Coturnix japonica: one gene and its partners. The protein of the gene in region 4 interacts with the protein of the main gene of each other region in a biochemical or structural test. Links are inferred from orthologs where the notes say so. Each region holds a gene or a part of one and is shown on either strand. Other genes may lie near its edges. The genes, in order: GABARAPL2, MAP1LC3C, MAP1LC3A and NBR1.

Region 1 (4,295 bases), on a different chromosome or scaffold from region 4:
TTTAATAGAAGGGTTCCTGTTAAGAGGAAAGAAAGTTAAAAGTGCAGATTTCCCTAACTGCAACACGCACATACAAAGAAAGCAAAGAAACAGCACAGTTAGAAATAGAATAAAAAGCTGCTTGGCTTTAAAAACATGAGGTTAGAGAGAGAAGCCTTAGTTCTGTATGTTACAACAATCCACGTACTCCACAGGAAGGGAAAAAGACTCTCCAAGAGCACTTTTGTCCCGTGCCATTCCAAACATGTTCCCTGCATCCTACAGTCTGTATCTTAACGCTGGACCTTCTGCTACATCCCTGGCAATGCTGAGCTCGGCCCTGAGCGCTTCTTTGCACCATGTCCAGCTCCTGGTGGGAAGCCGCGGCTCCCAGCGCTTCCGTACCGCTCAAGGCCAGCACCGCAGCAATTCACAACCACCACGAGGCACCACAGAGCGCTCAGAGGAAATAACTACCGCTGCTGGATCCCGCAAAGAACAATAGCTGCAGGGGAGAGACGGCATGCTTTGAAAGCACGTACCTGCATTGCAAAGCAGGGGGCTGCCCACAAAGCCCTGCAAGCTGCAGTGTAACAAGCCTCACAGAGCGGGACCGGGACGGGGAAGGAAGAAAAATTACGGGGAAAAAAAAAAACAAAAACAAAACCACAAAAACCCACGGGAAAGAAAAGTCAGCAAAAAGCTTCGTGAGAACGAGCAGCGTGTTCCTGTAAGTCAGTGCACCGACAGCCGAAGCCAAGGGAGCTCCCCGACCCGCTGCCCGCAGCCGCCTACCAACAGCAGCGGGACGCGCAGCCGGTCCTCCTGGAGCCGGTTGAACGCCGGGAACGTGCTCCACGCCAGGAAGCTGCCCGGGCCCGGCCCGGTGGTGGCCACGAACAGCAGCTGGTACTGGAAGCGGACCGCGGGCTGCTCTCGGTACGAGCTCTGCTTCAGCCAGAAACCTGCGGGCAAACACGGCGCGACGTCACGGCGCGACGCCGGGCGCGGCCCCGCGGGGCTGGGGGCTGCCCGCCGCTCACCGTGGCTCCGGTAAGCCACCAGCAGCGGCGGCACGTAGGTGAGCGCGGCCAGCAGCAGCAGCGCCAGCGCGGCGGCGGAGCACAGCCCGGCCCGGTACCGCGTGTGCAGCGCGGGGTGCGAGAACAGCTCCAGCGCCGCCATCCCCAGCACGCGGCTGCGGAGCGCAACGACGGACCGGAGCCGGGCTGCACCGAGCGCCGCAACGGGAGCGGCGGCCGCCGAGCAGCGGGGAGCGCGATCCGGGACACGCGGCTGCAGTGAAGCGGGGAGCGCCCGGGGAGCGCAGCACCAAGGGAACCACGGCGGGCGCTACGGCAACGAGACCGCCGGTAACGGGACCGGCAGCAAAGGGACCGGCGGCAACGGGACCGAACGGCGGGCTCCGCAGCCTCGTTTCCCCCACGTGACCCCGCTCACCGCGACCCGGAAGCGCCGCGTTCCGGTGGTTGCTAAGGAAGCACCGAACCGGAAGTCCCGCCTGCCGAGCCGGGGCTGATTTTGTTGTGACAGGGTCCGTGTCGGCCGCCTCGGCCCGGTTCCGTTCTCGGCCTACCCGGGCCCCGCCGCCGGCTCCGCTTCCCGCCCAGCCCGCGCCATGAAGTGGATGTTCAAAGAAGACCACGCGCTGGGTAAGGGCGGGCCCGGCGCTGCCCGACGGCGGCCTCCCGTGTCCCGTGTCCCGTGTCGCCGTCCGCCCCGGGCTCCCCGTCGTGCTGCTGGGCGGGCGGCCCCGCGGGTCTGGACGCAGGGCGGCGCGGCAGCGGGGAATGAGAGAATGAGAACGAGAATGAGAACGAGAATGAGAATGCGAACACCGGGCCGGGGCCGCGTCACGGGGTGCGGGGCGGCTGCGGTGCGTGCGGGGCTGCTCGCTCTGCGCAGGGCCCTGACCGTACCGTTACTGTTACCGTACCGTTACCATACCGTTCCGTTCCGTTACCGTTCCGTACCGTACCGTACTGTTACCGTACCGTACTGTTACCATACCATACTGTTACCGTACCGTTACCGTTACCGTTCTGTACCGTTACTGTACCGTGACTAACCGCAAGTTTTGTTCACAGAGCACAGATGTGTGGAGTCAGCAAAGATCCGCGCCAAGTACCCTGACCGTGTCCCGGTGAGTAACCAGGCCGGCTTCATCCAGAACTGAAGAGGCAGCGGTGGATGAGCTGCCTGCATCCTGCCCGCTGTGCTTTGACCAGAACCCACCAAGTACATTCATTTTCCCTTTTGCATCGTTTGATGTTTTAAAGAAGGCCCAAAGACACGTAACTAGCCCAGCATTCCTTCCTCTGCCCTAATGCGCACTGTCAAATAAGTGAATGTGCCTGACTTTCTGAACACTTACCACATCTATGTTTTCTCTATGTCCCACTTTCTTTTAAGAGCAAAGGCTTTGTACGTTCAGTATCCTGAAGGTACATTCTGTGCATGATTCCAGGAAACTTAAAGAATAAGTTCTTTACACCTTGACAGTCCTTCCTAGCTCGATGAGGGAGGTGATTAGGTTCACCTGGGTTCACAGGGAAGAGCTTTCCAGAGTGTCAGCCAGCCCTTAAATGAGGGCTAAGAGAGGTGCACAGGCACAGGAAAATTTGTGCCATTGTATATATGAATGTAGGTTTCAGTGCAGTTGTAAAATCAGGTTGTACAGTACTGAGTCCTATCTCTCACTATCAAAAGCTGTCTGTTTCTACCAGTCCTGAAAAGCCTCACTTTCACATGTGCTTTACAGGTTATAGTGGAGAAGGTATCAGGATCTCAGATTGTTGATATTGATAAGAGGAAATACTTAGTTCCATCTGACATCACCGTGGCCCAGTTTATGTGGATCATCAGGAAGAGGATTCAGTTGCCCTCTGAGAAAGCAATATTCCTCTTTGTAGACAAGACTGTCCCACAGTCCAGGTAAGTGGCTGTTCAACTGGTATTCAGAACCATTTTAGCGTGGCTGTACATATCAGAGGAACAAAAAAAAAAAACCCTTCTGAGGATTAGGCAGCACTTATAGAAGGCGTTTGGTTGCATTTTCATCTCCCTGCGATTTGGACTTTTTTGGTCATACATATTGGTAACACATTTTCGATTATTTACATTGCAAGAAGGTAAACTAGAGTTATGACATCAGAAATATCAGATAACTTCTCCATGTGGCAAAAAAAAGTTGCATGTTAAACATACAAAAGCAAGCACTATAAATTATTTAAAAAAACATGAACCTAATTCTGTCAGCTCACATTAATGGTTTTTGTTGTTGTTGTTGTGGGTTTTTTTAAAATAACTTTTTCCTGTAAATACTAAATGCAAAACAACTAGAAGTAATGTGAAAAAACTTCTCTGTAGAACGGAGTCAGCATCAGTGGTTGTCTGCTACGTACATTACAAAATGCAGCACTAGCAGCTACTGCAGCAGCTCCCTATACGATCTATTTGAATAATCTCTGAGAAAACAGAATGTAGTGTTACTTGGTTTGGAGGCAGTGTTATTCTTGTCAACACTTGCCTGTGTAACAGCACCTCCAAATAACCTGTCCAGACCCAGCAAGAAAGATTTGTATTTCATTCATGACACTTATGGGAATCACGGGAGTGGCAAGGACCACCTTTTCCTACTTTATTTCTTCTAGGAGTAGTAGAAATGCCTTAGTCCCACTTTCTCAGTACTGTAGAACTGCTAGGAACAAACAGGAAAGGCAAAGAAATAAGGGCACGTTGTATCATCTCACACAACTATGGTATCTCACATCTCTGCTGGAAGTCCAAGGCTCTGAACCTTCAAGCTGATGCAAAAATAGTAACTTTTGTTATTAGGTAAAAATGTAGCTGGCCAACAGTTCTACCCCTTTAGACCACAAATTCTTCACTTCCTTCTCATTCAGAAGGTTATCTACTATTTGTTAATTGCCATCAATTTCAAGTGCTGCCTGCAACTCTCCCCAACTCCTTTAACTTAACACACTACCCGTTTTCTCACAGGGAAAAAGCCATGATGGTTTTCCTATCACCCACATTCAGTCTGTGCCTTTCAGTTCTCTGGCCTTTTCTCAGGCACTCTTGGGCAGTTAGAAAAGATGATCTGAAGCATCTTTAGGCAGTTGACTCACATCAGTCACTGTTTCATCTGTCATTCACAGACAGCTAAAGGAGTTAGGCTGGCCAAGTAATTGCTTGGCTTTCGTTCTGTTTTCAAAATACAGTCATCCCACAAAAGACTACTTAGATTGTAAAGGGCCACAAGCCTATCTTATTAAAATACTTAGATTGGAAAG
Region 2 (3,581 bases), on a different chromosome or scaffold from region 4:
ATTCCTGATATATTAGAAAGCTGCACTTCAGCTTGAACCTCCTGTCAAGAGTTTCTTCCAATTCATTTTCAGGAAGCTTGTACAATAAATGTATCAGCATGTCACTACATGATAGTTTTGACATTTTCCAGATACGCTGACATACCTCTGTAAGGTACAGCACAAACACCCACACTTGAGGCAAGGCTCACTGAAGTCCCTCAGCAGAAGAGCTGTGCAGGTGCCTGTAGGTGAAAGGGATGACCAGCTTGCCTACAGACCAGACTAGCAGAATTCAATAGAAAGAGCAGAACACTGACCCCTATTCTAGCACTGATGCAACCCTGCTACTCAGGTACTTCAATGAATGAACTGTTTGTAGGTATGAGCCTACTGCTGCATGAGCAGGCTTGAGTTTTGTTATCTCATTGTGAAATTGAATGAGTGGCTGTGCAAGCAACACTCCACTCCAGAAGCCTGGAGCCAGAATCATTCTAGGACCTTTTCCCAGGAAGTCTCTCCCCAAATTAAAACTGACATTCAACCTAGTACTTAAAAGCTTCTTTATTTTATTCTTAAGCAACACCTTAAAAAGCAGTTACATCACAAGATCGGTATTGCAAAAAGTGGAGGTGCAGTTCCAAAACAACAACAACAAAAAAGAAACCCCACAGTGCCTTCCAAGTATAAAAATATACATCTAAATTATCATCCATGGAAAAGTGTACCACCATCTCTGCCTTGAGCCGGTCCTGCCAGCTTTTGGATCATAACTCCGCAGTACAGAGCTCAAGAGCTCATACTGGAGGGAGCATCTCCGAGTCTCATGTCACATGCATGATTCACAGCACAGTGGCTTAGCTGCAGCATATAGACCCCAGCATTAGGTTTTATGGTGGCATTCCATAGTTTTCCCTAAGGTGAGTGAGCAGCATCCGAACATCTCCTGGGAAGCATATGTCATGTACACGAAGCCATCTTCATCCTTGTAGTCCCTGTACACCTCTGCCATGGTCAAAGACATACTCGCTAAGCTCTTGTTGTTCACCAGCAGGTAGAAAGCTTGTGTAGCAGTCAGAGCCATCCTGCTTCTGAATGAAGAGGGAAAAGGAAACAAAGGACCAAGCATTAGCAAATTTAAGGTTTCAACCTTAGTCTATAAAATACATTAAGCAGAATAGTTGCAGCATTTCTTGTACATAGTTTATGCACGAAGACGTTGCTTAGTTTAATATTTCCATCAGAAAGTTAACTGTACTCAGAAACAGGAAGCTTGCTCCAGGGAAAGGCTTAAGCTGCAGGACTGTAGCTGCTACCAAGCCTGAGCCTGGGGCTGCCCATTCCCAAGAAGTGCTGAGTGTAGCTACAATAGGGAATTTCAGCACAGCCTGTTAAACTTAAGGCCTGCCCACCTTCAGAGGAGTCTCACTCAGAGACTTTACACATGAAGACTGGCTGACAAAAGTATCTTCTACATAAGTTAATAACTGGAAACATGGCTTCCACGCACTTTTTGTCACTGACAAAAAATTGCCTTACAATTCCCCAGCACCCCTGCACAGAACGCCCCCCTTTAGGAGACCTCTTTGCCAGTGTATTTGTAAAGAACACCCGGGATGGAGCTGCCACAGGTTTGGGCAACCTGTAAGTGCAACAGGAGCAGCAGGGCAGCAGCAGTTGGATGCAGAGCACAGCCCAGAACCAGGCAGAACGGGAGCAGAGCAGCAGCCTCGCGCCGCCTTTATCCGCCAGTGAGGGGGAAGAGGGACCTCGGGAGCCCCGAGCTCTTCCCTATCAGCTCCCGCTGGGGGAGGCCGCCCCAGGCCCCTCTCACGCGGTAGTGCGCGGCCCTTACCTGATGATGGTGATGAACTGCGTCATGGTCAGCTCCTCGGGGACGAGAAACTTAGTTTTGTCCAACAGGGGAAGGTATTTCTCCTTCTGGTACCTCTCAACGATTACCTGTTTTTAATTAGAGTCACTTAGAAGCCCCAGCGACGTTCCGTTCCCCTCCTTCCAAAATACTCAAGGCAGAAGCCGGGAGCCCCCGCCCGCGGAGCAGCGAATTACCGGGATCTTTGTGGGGAACTTGGCCCTGATGCCGGCCACCTCCTCCCGCCGGGTGGCTGCGCGGGAGAGAGCACAAGCGTTACGTTGTAACGTAGAGAGAGAGAGCACCGTACCGTCCCATCCCCATAACCATACCCAGACTCTTGCGCAGCTTGAAGGGCCGCACCGGCTGCACCCCGGGACCCGCCTGCATCCCGCCGCCTGAGGCCGCCGCCCCGCGCCGCGCCTCTTATGGGCCGGTCCGGCACCGCCCCGAGGGGCGGCGTGTGGCGGGCGGGCTGCTTCGCATTTGGGAGTTGCCTTGGAAGTATCCATCCCAGCATCCATCCCAGCATCCATCCCAGCGCTGCCCAGCCTTGCTTTTGCTTCACGCACACTTCCATGCCAGACGCCGTTCTGTCAAACTGCCCCTCTGCTGCCATCTGTCACACAGCTACAACGTGTAACGAATATTAGGATTCAACCTCTGCTGCCATACCTCCAATGTCTGCCTCTGACATCGTGGGACAGCATCACATAGTATGAAGCATTACTTTCAGGGCAGCCCTCATAAAATACATAACATGGTTCATACATGAAAGTAATACAACTGTTTTTAGTATTTTATATTGAAACAAAACAAAAGAGAGCAACAGCACCATAATTCTGATGAGATATGTGACCTTGTTTGTGAGAAAGTGGCTTATCAGTGTCTGGTTTGCTGGCAGTGGCTGCAGTTCTTATGAGCTCCGAAGGCATTTGTCACATTGTTGACAAAATGTACTCCTCCTGTGCTTTATCCTTGACAAAAGTTGTTCACAAGTGTACGTACTGCCTGACGGCCATCTCAGGAATAAGGTGTGACTGTGAAGCAAGGGATGTTTCTCCCTGGTAAGGGGGTTTATAAAAGTCTGGTGAAGAGCAAGTCCAGCCTGGGAGTGAGATTATATAGTGTCCTGGTCCCGTGACTTATCCCTGACCATGATGTCCTCTGGGATATGTAGTCTTCTTCTGTGAGCTGAACATTCAGTAAAATTATCCATACTTTACATGATGTTATGATGTGGAATACTGATAGCAAAATTACAAAACCATGACACCATCACAGCACAGCTCACCAAATGGCACAACGAACTGAAGTATGTAGAGAGGACAGGGTGTGTTGCTCTGAGGAGCTGCTGAGCCTCAGACTTGGGAGGGGAGCTGTGGCCAGTTTTGGTGCTGTCAACACGGCCCCTAAGGGACCCATCCCCAAGGTAAGCCTCCCCAGCTGTGCAGGAGAGCTCCAGGGCTCCTATCAGAGATGCATGTGGAACACCTGGACTTGGTTCCACACAACCACCAGCACCTTGTTTCCAGAGGGATGTTAGCCTTCACAGGCAGCTGTTTGACAGAAAACTGAGCACCTGACAAGAGAGGGAGGGAGCTGAAGAACGGAACTTCAAGTGAAATTCTTGGCTGTGGCTCTAATTCCTACTGCAGCTAAAAGTGAGCACAGTTAGCAGATGCCCTGCGTTACATCATCTGGAGGCAGAGAGCAAGGGAGGTCATCT
Region 3 (4,340 bases), on a different chromosome or scaffold from region 4:
AGAAATTGATCCCTTTCTGAAGGCAAAGGAAACACCTGCTGCGAAGTCAGAGCAAACAAACCCTGATGCATTAAGAGGCTGATGAGGGGGGTTTGAAGTATGGCTCAGGGCTGCAAGCAGCAGCACTTGTAGCCCAAGATCTCTTTGTCCAGCTGAGATAAGGCCGTGGCAGAGGAATGGAGGTGACAGCACTTAAGAGATCGCAAAAGATAGACTTGTGGAAACATCTGTTCATCTTCAGACACGTCTTTCAGCTGCTATGGGCAGCAGCTATTTGTCTGCCTGAGATGGCTGAGCAGCACTCCTTTCACACACAGGAGCTTTATTTACCTTGTCTTAAAGCTTTTGCTGTGCATTGCTATGTCTGTAGGGAATGAAAGCAAGGCCTACAGCAGGCCAAGCTGGCTGTGTGTTAGCAGAGTGCCCCGACCTGCACAGGCTGCATGCAGAGCTGTGGTGTGCGGGGGCTGCAGGGCACTGAGCTCTGACAGCACCAACACTGCAGGAGTCTGAGCGTCATCAGGTCTGTGTTGACAGTAATACACTACTTCAGCAGCACAACAGCATTCCTCGGGGAGGCTCCAAGCTGTCACAAACATGCAGGGTGCTCATTACCAGCAGTGCTCACCCTGCTGGAATGCTGGCATTGTAAAGCTGGCTGTTGATCGTGGGTTGCTATAGGGCTGCTTGCTGCTGCTGGGTTGGTCTGTCTACCTGTTCCTCGTCAAAAGTGGGTTAGTGCTTAACAACAGTAACAAATTCAGTGAGCCTGCAGTCTGCAATGTCAGTCCATCTGCCTTATCTCAGTCAGTACCGCAACTTCTTTCCCTTCTGCATTTTTGGATGGCCAGGACCCTTTTGATCATCAGAGCACTTTTAAAAGATGCAGTGGGAGCCTTTCTGTCCCTTTGAAGCAGGGATGTACTCAATGTCTGCCCACCATGGGGGGTTGTTTTGGAGCACAGCGCTCATTGCAGCGTGCCTTCACGGGGACATGCAGTGTGGCTCTCTGCAAAACACCGTCACCGTTTGCAGCTGGGTTTGATTCGTTCACGGCTCTAGAAATAGCCCGCTCTATTTGTAGCCGTGATTTGCTCTGCAAGGTATGCGGGCTGTGTGTGCAGCGGGGGGAGACGGGCTGCTCCGGGGCGTGCGGGGCAGTAAGAGGAGGGGACGGGGACTGAGTACATGGGCAGAGCGGGGGACGGGGGCGGCTTTAACTAGAACAGGGAAGATTCAGGTCGGATGAGCGGAGGGAATCCTACACCCGCAGGCGGTGCGGCCCCGGCCCTGGGCAGCCCGGGCTGGGGGAGCGGCTCAGGTGCGCACGGAGCAGCGCTCAGCGATGTGCTGCGGGAGGGGAAAGCGGCTCTTGGGGTGTGAGCGGGGCCCGAAAGGCCGCGATTGAAAACGGGATCGATGACTCGGCGCTCATCGCACCGGGCGGCACCGCCCCACGGACACGTCACGTGACACGTCACGGCCCTCCGCCCGCCCCGGTGACGTCACCGCCCGCTCCGCCGCAGCCGCCACACGGAGCCGCCGCCGGCACCTGCGACCCGGCCCGGCCGCCGCCGCCGCCGCCAACACCACCGCCATGCCCTCGGAACGGCCCTTCAAGCAGCGCCGCACCTTCGGTGAGCGGACGGCGGGGCGATGTGCGCGGGAGCTGCGTGCGCAGCGATCGGGGGGCGAGGATGGGGCCGCGCGGTGCCGCGGGGCGGGCGGTGCCCTCCGGCCGGGCTATACCGGGCTGTGCGGGGCTGTACGGGGCTGTGCGGGGCTGTACGGGGCTGTACGGAGCTGTACGGGGCTGTGCGGAGCTGTACGGAGCTGTACGGAGCTGTGCGGGGCTGTACGGAGCTGTACCGGGCTGTGCCGGGCTGTACGGGGCTGTACCGGGCTGTACCGGGCTGTACGGGGCTGTACCGGGCTGTACCGGGCTGTACGGGGCTGTACCGGGTTGTACCGGCGGCCCTCGGGCTCCTTGTCCTCCTCCCGCAGCCCGAACGCACCCGCGTAGCGCGGCGGTCCCCCCCCACCCCCCGTTTCTTATTGTGGCACCGCCCGGAGCCGCGACCCCTTCGCCCCGCTGTGGCGGCGGGCTGAGCCCCTTCGGCTGCGGGTGGGCGGCCGAACCTTCGCGCACCGCCCGGTGCCCCCGCCCGGCTGGGGGTCGCTGTGCCGAGGACCCCGCGCTCCGCACCCTGTGCTGCCGGGCCCGGCGGGTTCCGCGCTCGCGTGGAAACATCGTTGTGCTGAATGTGGGCGGTGGGCGATGTGACCGTACGGGGCGATGTGACCGTACGGGGCGATGTGACCGTACGGGTCGGTGTTACCGTACGGGGCAATGTTACCGTACGGGGCAGTGTTACCGTACGGGCAGTGTTACCGTACGGGGCAGTGTTACCGTACGGGTCAGTGTTACCGTACGGGTCAGTGTTACCGTACGGGGCAGTGTTACCGTACGGGGCAGTGTTACCGTACGGGGCAGTGTTACCGTACGGGGCAGTGTTACCGTACGGGCAGTGTTACCGTACGGGGCAGTGTTACCGCACGGGGCGATGTTACCGTACGGGTCAGTGTTACCGCACGGGGCGCCGCGTCGTGCCTTGCCCGGCAGAGCGGCAGCTGCTGCTCCCCCTGACCTTTGCCGGCCGAACCCCGCGGCCACACGGCGCTTGGCTGGAGTTTTCTATTAAAAGCAGCAGAATCCCGAGTGCCGCCCGTATCTCTGCCCGCTGCTCCGCCGTGGCAGCCGGCATCGCGGGCGGGAGGAGCCGGCTTTGCCTTTGCACGTTGCTCAGGCTGGAGGAAAACAAAAGTCGAGGCTCGGAGTGACCGAAGGAGAGCGGGACTGAAATAGCGCAGGAGGGAAAGGGGGGGAGACGGAGTCGGGTGCTGTGTGACCGCGGGTGTCTGCGCCGTCCTGTGCCCTTTGGCTCCCGGCTGATGTGCAGAGCTCAGCGGGACGAGGAGGAAGAGGAGGCGGCCCGGCGCCCGCTCGGCTGCTTTGGGTCGGGGCTGGGATCGCTCCGCTGGAGAAAGTAAACAGCGCTTGTTTTCGTCTTCAGCTCGTTGCACAACGGGAGCAGGAAGCGATTGTTGACAGTGCCGCTGGAGACGGACGATGGAAAATATTTCCAGTGACACTGCACCCTCAGAACGGCGCTGTTTGTAAGGCCGCAGAGCTGGAGAGAAGTGGAACGGCTCCAAAAGAACAGAACAGGCAGAGTCAGAGTGTGGCTGTTTACAAGAGCCGCCCAAGGCTCCGGTGTCACGGCACGTGGCTCGGTGAGGCCTTGGCCCGCTGCCCCGTGCTGACGCTCTGCTGTGCTTTGTGCCCATTTTCCCCCTTCTTGTAGTGTTGAGGTTTGTTTTTCTATGGGGTTTCTTCTGTTTGCCCATCTGCTTTGTCTCAGGTCTGTTCTGAATACATTTTATGGAGCTCAGTGTGATGCTGTTGAGGACTTAAGTCCAACGCTGGGGCATGCGGCGTCCCCCTGGTGTCTGATGCACATCAGAGGGGGCTCTGCTGGGGTTGTGCTCCCCGCTGTGGCTGTGGCTGTATCTTTGGGCTGGGGGTGAGATCTGATGGAGCCCCTCAGCTGCCACGTGCAAACCTGCCTGTGAATGCTGAGGGAGCTGCGTTCTGCTTAGTCAGATCCATGGTAGGAGTCCAGACCAATTCCCAGAGTGAAGCTGTGCTCTGTGTCAGAGGAGCAGGCTGTCCTGGCTGCAGCCATGTGTGCAACCTGCTGACCCTGCGCTGCTTCCTGTGAAAGGTGCATCTTTGGGCTGGATGCTCCCATCCCAGGTGCAGTTTTCTGTGCCTTCAGTTCTGGCAGTGCACTTCTCATGTGGAAAAGGCAGCAGTCGGTAAGAGCAGCACATAGAACTGAAGAGTGGCCTTCACCAGGTGGCAGCAGGGTGAGGAAGGGGATTGTCCCCCTGTGATCAGCTCCTGTGAGACCCCACCTTGGTTTTGCATCCAGCCCTGGGGCTGCTGGCACAGGAAGGACGTGGAGCTGCTGCAGGAGGTCCAGAGGAGGACACAAAGGTGCTCAGAGGGCTGGAGCATCTCTGCTATGGAGTCTGGCTGAGGGAGCTGGGAGTGTTCTGCCTGAAGGAGGGAAAGCTGCGGGGAGACCTCATTGCAGCCTTGCAATGTTTAAAGGGAGATTATAAACAGGAGGAAAATCAACTTTTTACACATGTAGATGGTGATAGAACGAGGGGAAACAGCTTTAAACTAGAGGGAAGATTCAGATTAGATGTCAAGGGGAAGATTTTCACTGAGAGGGCAGTGCAGCCCTGGCACTGCTGCTCAGAGCTGGGGG
Region 4 (3,562 bases):
GTATTTCACACTTCACACTTCAATCTGCAACGAAGTGCTTTTCCTCAAACATTCTAGTTTTGTTAATTTACAGAACATATTAAAATCTTAAGTATGAAGGTATACACAGAAAGAGCAAGTGTGCTGCTGGGCATTACAGATCAAAACAAACAACCAGATTAATAACTTCACCAGCTATTGCACTTATCCATGTCCCCTCCTCCTCATCATATTGTATAGTAAGCATAAGCTGAAAGATATTCAGATCAGTATGTGTAAGTTATAGTGGGGGGAAAAAAACCATAATTTCAAGTTACAGAAAAGTCTTTATCTGGTCCACAGTAGGCAGCTGTACTGGGGTACAGACAGATGGGAAACACTGCAAAATAGTCCTACTGTATTTCAAAATAAGCATTTAAGAGTTTGCCTTCCACAATCTATAAAAATATGTTTAAAACAGAAGAAGTATGATACATATTTCTCTTCAATTATTTTAATGGTATTTTATCATGGAGAGTATTAGGTCTTTAAAAAACTAATACTGATCATCTGATCAATCAGAATACTCACAGCTGCTTCAGCTACGTTGTGTCAAAATAGAAACACCTTATTTTGAAGCAGCAATAGTATTTGTATTTCAGGATCAGTGGTCTCCCACTGCGGCAACTTAGAAAGCTTACTCGAAAGAAAGAATGTAGCCAACATTGCTGTCACTTTCAGAGGACTGACCTGTGAGCAGTTATCTACAGATACACCACTGCACAGCAGTGTATGTTACTGGTTGCTTGCGATTCTTCAGAATCAAATCACCTCTCAGGATGTTTGGGAGCTTAAACACTGAAATAAGTATGTGTACGTAAAGAAAAACTGTGAGAGAAAGTGAGTTCTACAGATGTGTTTACAGAAACACAGAAGCAGCCAGAAACGTTGCCAGAGACTATACATATAACACTGCTCAAGTTACTATATTTTTCAAAATGAAGTATGTTGTAAAACCCCTGCCTTGGGGGGGTAGGGGGGTATTTGGGTTTGTTTCCCAAATACTACCAGAATTCATACTCCAGTTCAAGTCTGGCTTTGTACGCATGAAAACTCTTAATGTAGTATTAAGATGTCTGGACAACACAAAAAACACAGGGGTTGAGTTTTTACACTCCCCCCCCATCCCCCCCAAAGAACCTTTTCAAAGGTTCTTAGGAAGGTTTTTCCTACAGTACAACTCCATTTTTAACAAAATATTTTATGTAGACTATATTTTTTGTTAGATATAAGTTTACTGTTATAATTACTACTAATGGTTACAGTTAATAGCAGCTGGTAAATTAACTCTTATGCTTTATTCTGCTTCAAGAAACAGTGATTTTCCTGGTATACATCCGTTCAAATCAACTTCAGGCTTTTCAGAAGTCATTTGATGGTTCAAGACTAATTTTAATATATGAGCAACATCGCCTTCTCCCCCAGCCCCCCAACACCCCCGAGAATTATTTGTAAGGTTTAATTCTGTTACATTACTATCAAGAACTGGACAAAAACCGATAACTGTATCATGTCAGAAGAAAGAGTTTCCAAGTAGCTGGTATCTCTTATAAATTAGACAAGACTATATTTTACAGAAGCATTTTAAACTTTGTAATAGGAAGCAATGTGTTAGAAGTCAACAAAACAAAAGCTCCCAGCTGCCTAGAAGTATTTTACATACAGTAAAAGGAGAAGTGTGCAGGCTAAAGTCACTCTATAACATTTCCAGGTAAAAAGGAATCAGCATAAAGTTACCAACCTCAATACATCTAATTTCAGCAAAAGTAAAGTTGAAATTCTGGTGTCCAATTTGTAAAATGTTGTGACAAGCATTGTTTGACATTTCCATGAGAGGAAAAAGACAAAAGCTTGAGGAAAGGACAAAGTTTTATCTATATCTCCAAAGTAGCTGAAGGTCAGTCTGCTAATGCTGTAGTGTTTAATGAGAATTTGCTCAACTAAGGAGATTCATCCCTCCACCAGGAAGGCTCAGCATCTATTGCTGTACCAGTCACCATTACTGATTTGAAGCAATTCAGTTACCACTTGAACCATATTATTGTTGTGTTTCTTCAGCAGTCGCAGGTTTAACTGCCTGTCACAGAATCCCATCTCACACAGACTGGATAGAAGAGCAGCAGTGTGCTCTTCTGTAGCTGCAGGCTGATAGAAACAAAACAAGAGAGACAAGAAGACTTATTTTTGCCATCTCAACAGCAGTCCTGCATTATACTGGAATGCAGTGATGACACTGAAGCCCTCTGTCCACAAGGAAGCAATATGCACTTATTTTCATTGGTCACTTGTACATTTGAATTACTTCTCTTGCATTATGCTCAGAGACTTGCTTCTATTTCCACAGCACAGACTTCTCTATCAGCTGTGGAAGTGCCATGCTTCCAAGAGATGCCACCAAGTTTAACATTTTACTGTTGCAGCAGTGTGTTGTGAAACATCAATACAGACAATGTATGTTTTATTAAGGTACCAACAGTTATAATGTTAACGTTGAACTTCTGTAAAACTCATACAGAACATGGGAAAAAGACACTTACCTGTTCTGTAATGGGCGGTCCAGCAAATAATGCTTTGTAGGCAGAGGCAGCAACTGACAGAGCTCCTTTAACTAGATCTCCTGCAATACTGCCTCCTTGTGGGTGTCTGCAGAAAGGTTAGGTATTACATTTGGGTCAGCAAAAGCCGTATTTCTTTCACCTAAAAGGCAAATCCTTCCCCACTAATGGCTCAACTGAGACTTAATTCTTACTGGAGAGAATAACTCATTATCCAAAAGAATCACTGCTACTCAGGAATCAAGCGTTCCATGCCTTCTGCTAATTTGTATGTACTTTAAGTGCTAACATACATTAGCTTACTGTACGTAAAATGAAAGTTTGAAAAGATTGAATAGCCTACGTACATAGAAGCTGTGACATATGCATCCAGACCAGAGTAACTTCTGTCTGGTTTCCACTGATTCTTAGTCACTTAGTCTTCAAAGAAAGGCCATGGAACAAACAGAATTTGCAAAGCTGCAGCTTCTGTTTCATTACCTTGCATATTCAGAGCCCTTCCGGATACTAGTTAGAAATACAGAAGATTCTGGTTCACGCCTCTCTTCACCACTAGGTTCTGGAAGAAGAAGGAAATACCCCATATGAACACATAAAGTTAACTAAAAGCTGAAGAGATTCAACACACACATAAATGTAAAGTGAGATTCAGTCTAAATTACTACTTTCAAGCTTGGTGACCCAGATGCAAACTAGGCATGCAAGATTCTCACTACAGTTAATATAAATCAAAATAATTCTAGGAGTCATTTAGCTGAAAAGTCAGTGGGTATCTGCCTCACCACAATATGAACTGCTGTCTGAGCTCCAAATAGCTGTAACAATGGCTTGAGCATACAGCACTAATCCCAGAGCAAGATAAACTTCTACATGTATAAAGGCACTCCTGAGTGCTCTTCTAACATTTCTAATCAATAAACACTACTCTCACCTGATTCACAAAGCTGATTACTGTTATATTCAAGACTTCTGTATGATAAAATTTTAAA

Evidence for each region.
Region 1: the proteins of NBR1 (region 4) and GABARAPL2 form a complex in vitro, tested with the Homo sapiens proteins (2 studies listed by IntAct). The link is inferred for Coturnix japonica from reciprocal best matches to the Homo sapiens genes NBR1 and GABARAPL2.
Region 2: the proteins of NBR1 (region 4) and MAP1LC3C form a complex in vitro, tested with the Homo sapiens proteins (2 studies listed by IntAct). The link is inferred for Coturnix japonica from reciprocal best matches to the Homo sapiens genes NBR1 and MAP1LC3C.
Region 3: the proteins of NBR1 (region 4) and MAP1LC3A form a complex in vitro, tested with the Homo sapiens proteins (2 studies listed by BioGRID and IntAct). The link is inferred for Coturnix japonica from reciprocal best matches to the Homo sapiens genes NBR1 and MAP1LC3A.

What each region holds. Positions count from the first base shown.
Region 1 is NC_029526.1:17,778,757-17,783,051, reverse strand, and holds the start of GABARAPL2 (gamma-aminobutyric acid receptor-associated protein-like 2), read left to right. Parts: upstream 1-1,456; 5' UTR 1,457-1,618; coding exon 1,619-1,652; intron 1,653-2,087; coding exon 2,088-2,143; intron 2,144-2,761; coding exon 2,762-2,934; intron 2,935-4,295. Other genes in the region: uncharacterized protein LOC107319444, read right to left, coding at 775-944, 1,023-1,164. UniProt on the Homo sapiens protein: Ubiquitin-like modifier involved in intra-Golgi traffic. Modulates intra-Golgi transport through coupling between NSF activity and SNAREs activation. It first stimulates the ATPase activity of NSF which in turn stimulates the association with GOSR1.
Region 2 is NC_029518.1:32,120,581-32,124,161, reverse strand, and holds MAP1LC3C (microtubule-associated proteins 1A/1B light chain 3C), read right to left. Parts: upstream 2,299-3,581; 5' UTR 2,243-2,298; coding exon 2,185-2,242; intron 2,106-2,184; coding exon 2,050-2,105; intron 1,942-2,049; coding exon 1,835-1,941; intron 1,071-1,834; coding exon 863-1,070; 3' UTR 526-862; downstream 1-525.
Region 3 is NC_029535.1:1,283,219-1,287,558, reverse strand, and holds the start of MAP1LC3A (microtubule-associated proteins 1A/1B light chain 3A), read left to right. Parts: upstream 1-1,509; 5' UTR 1,510-1,597; coding exon 1,598-1,637; intron 1,638-4,340. UniProt on the Homo sapiens protein: Ubiquitin-like modifier involved in formation of autophagosomal vacuoles (autophagosomes). While LC3s are involved in elongation of the phagophore membrane, the GABARAP/GATE-16 subfamily is essential for a later stage in autophagosome maturation.
Region 4 is NC_029542.1:4,766,320-4,769,881, reverse strand, and holds part of NBR1 (next to BRCA1 gene 1 protein), read right to left. Parts: intron 3,133-3,562; coding exon 3,054-3,132; intron 2,662-3,053; coding exon 2,556-2,661; intron 2,164-2,555; coding exon 1,990-2,163; 3' UTR 1-1,989. UniProt on the Homo sapiens protein: Ubiquitin-binding autophagy adapter that participates in different processes including host defense or intracellular homeostasis.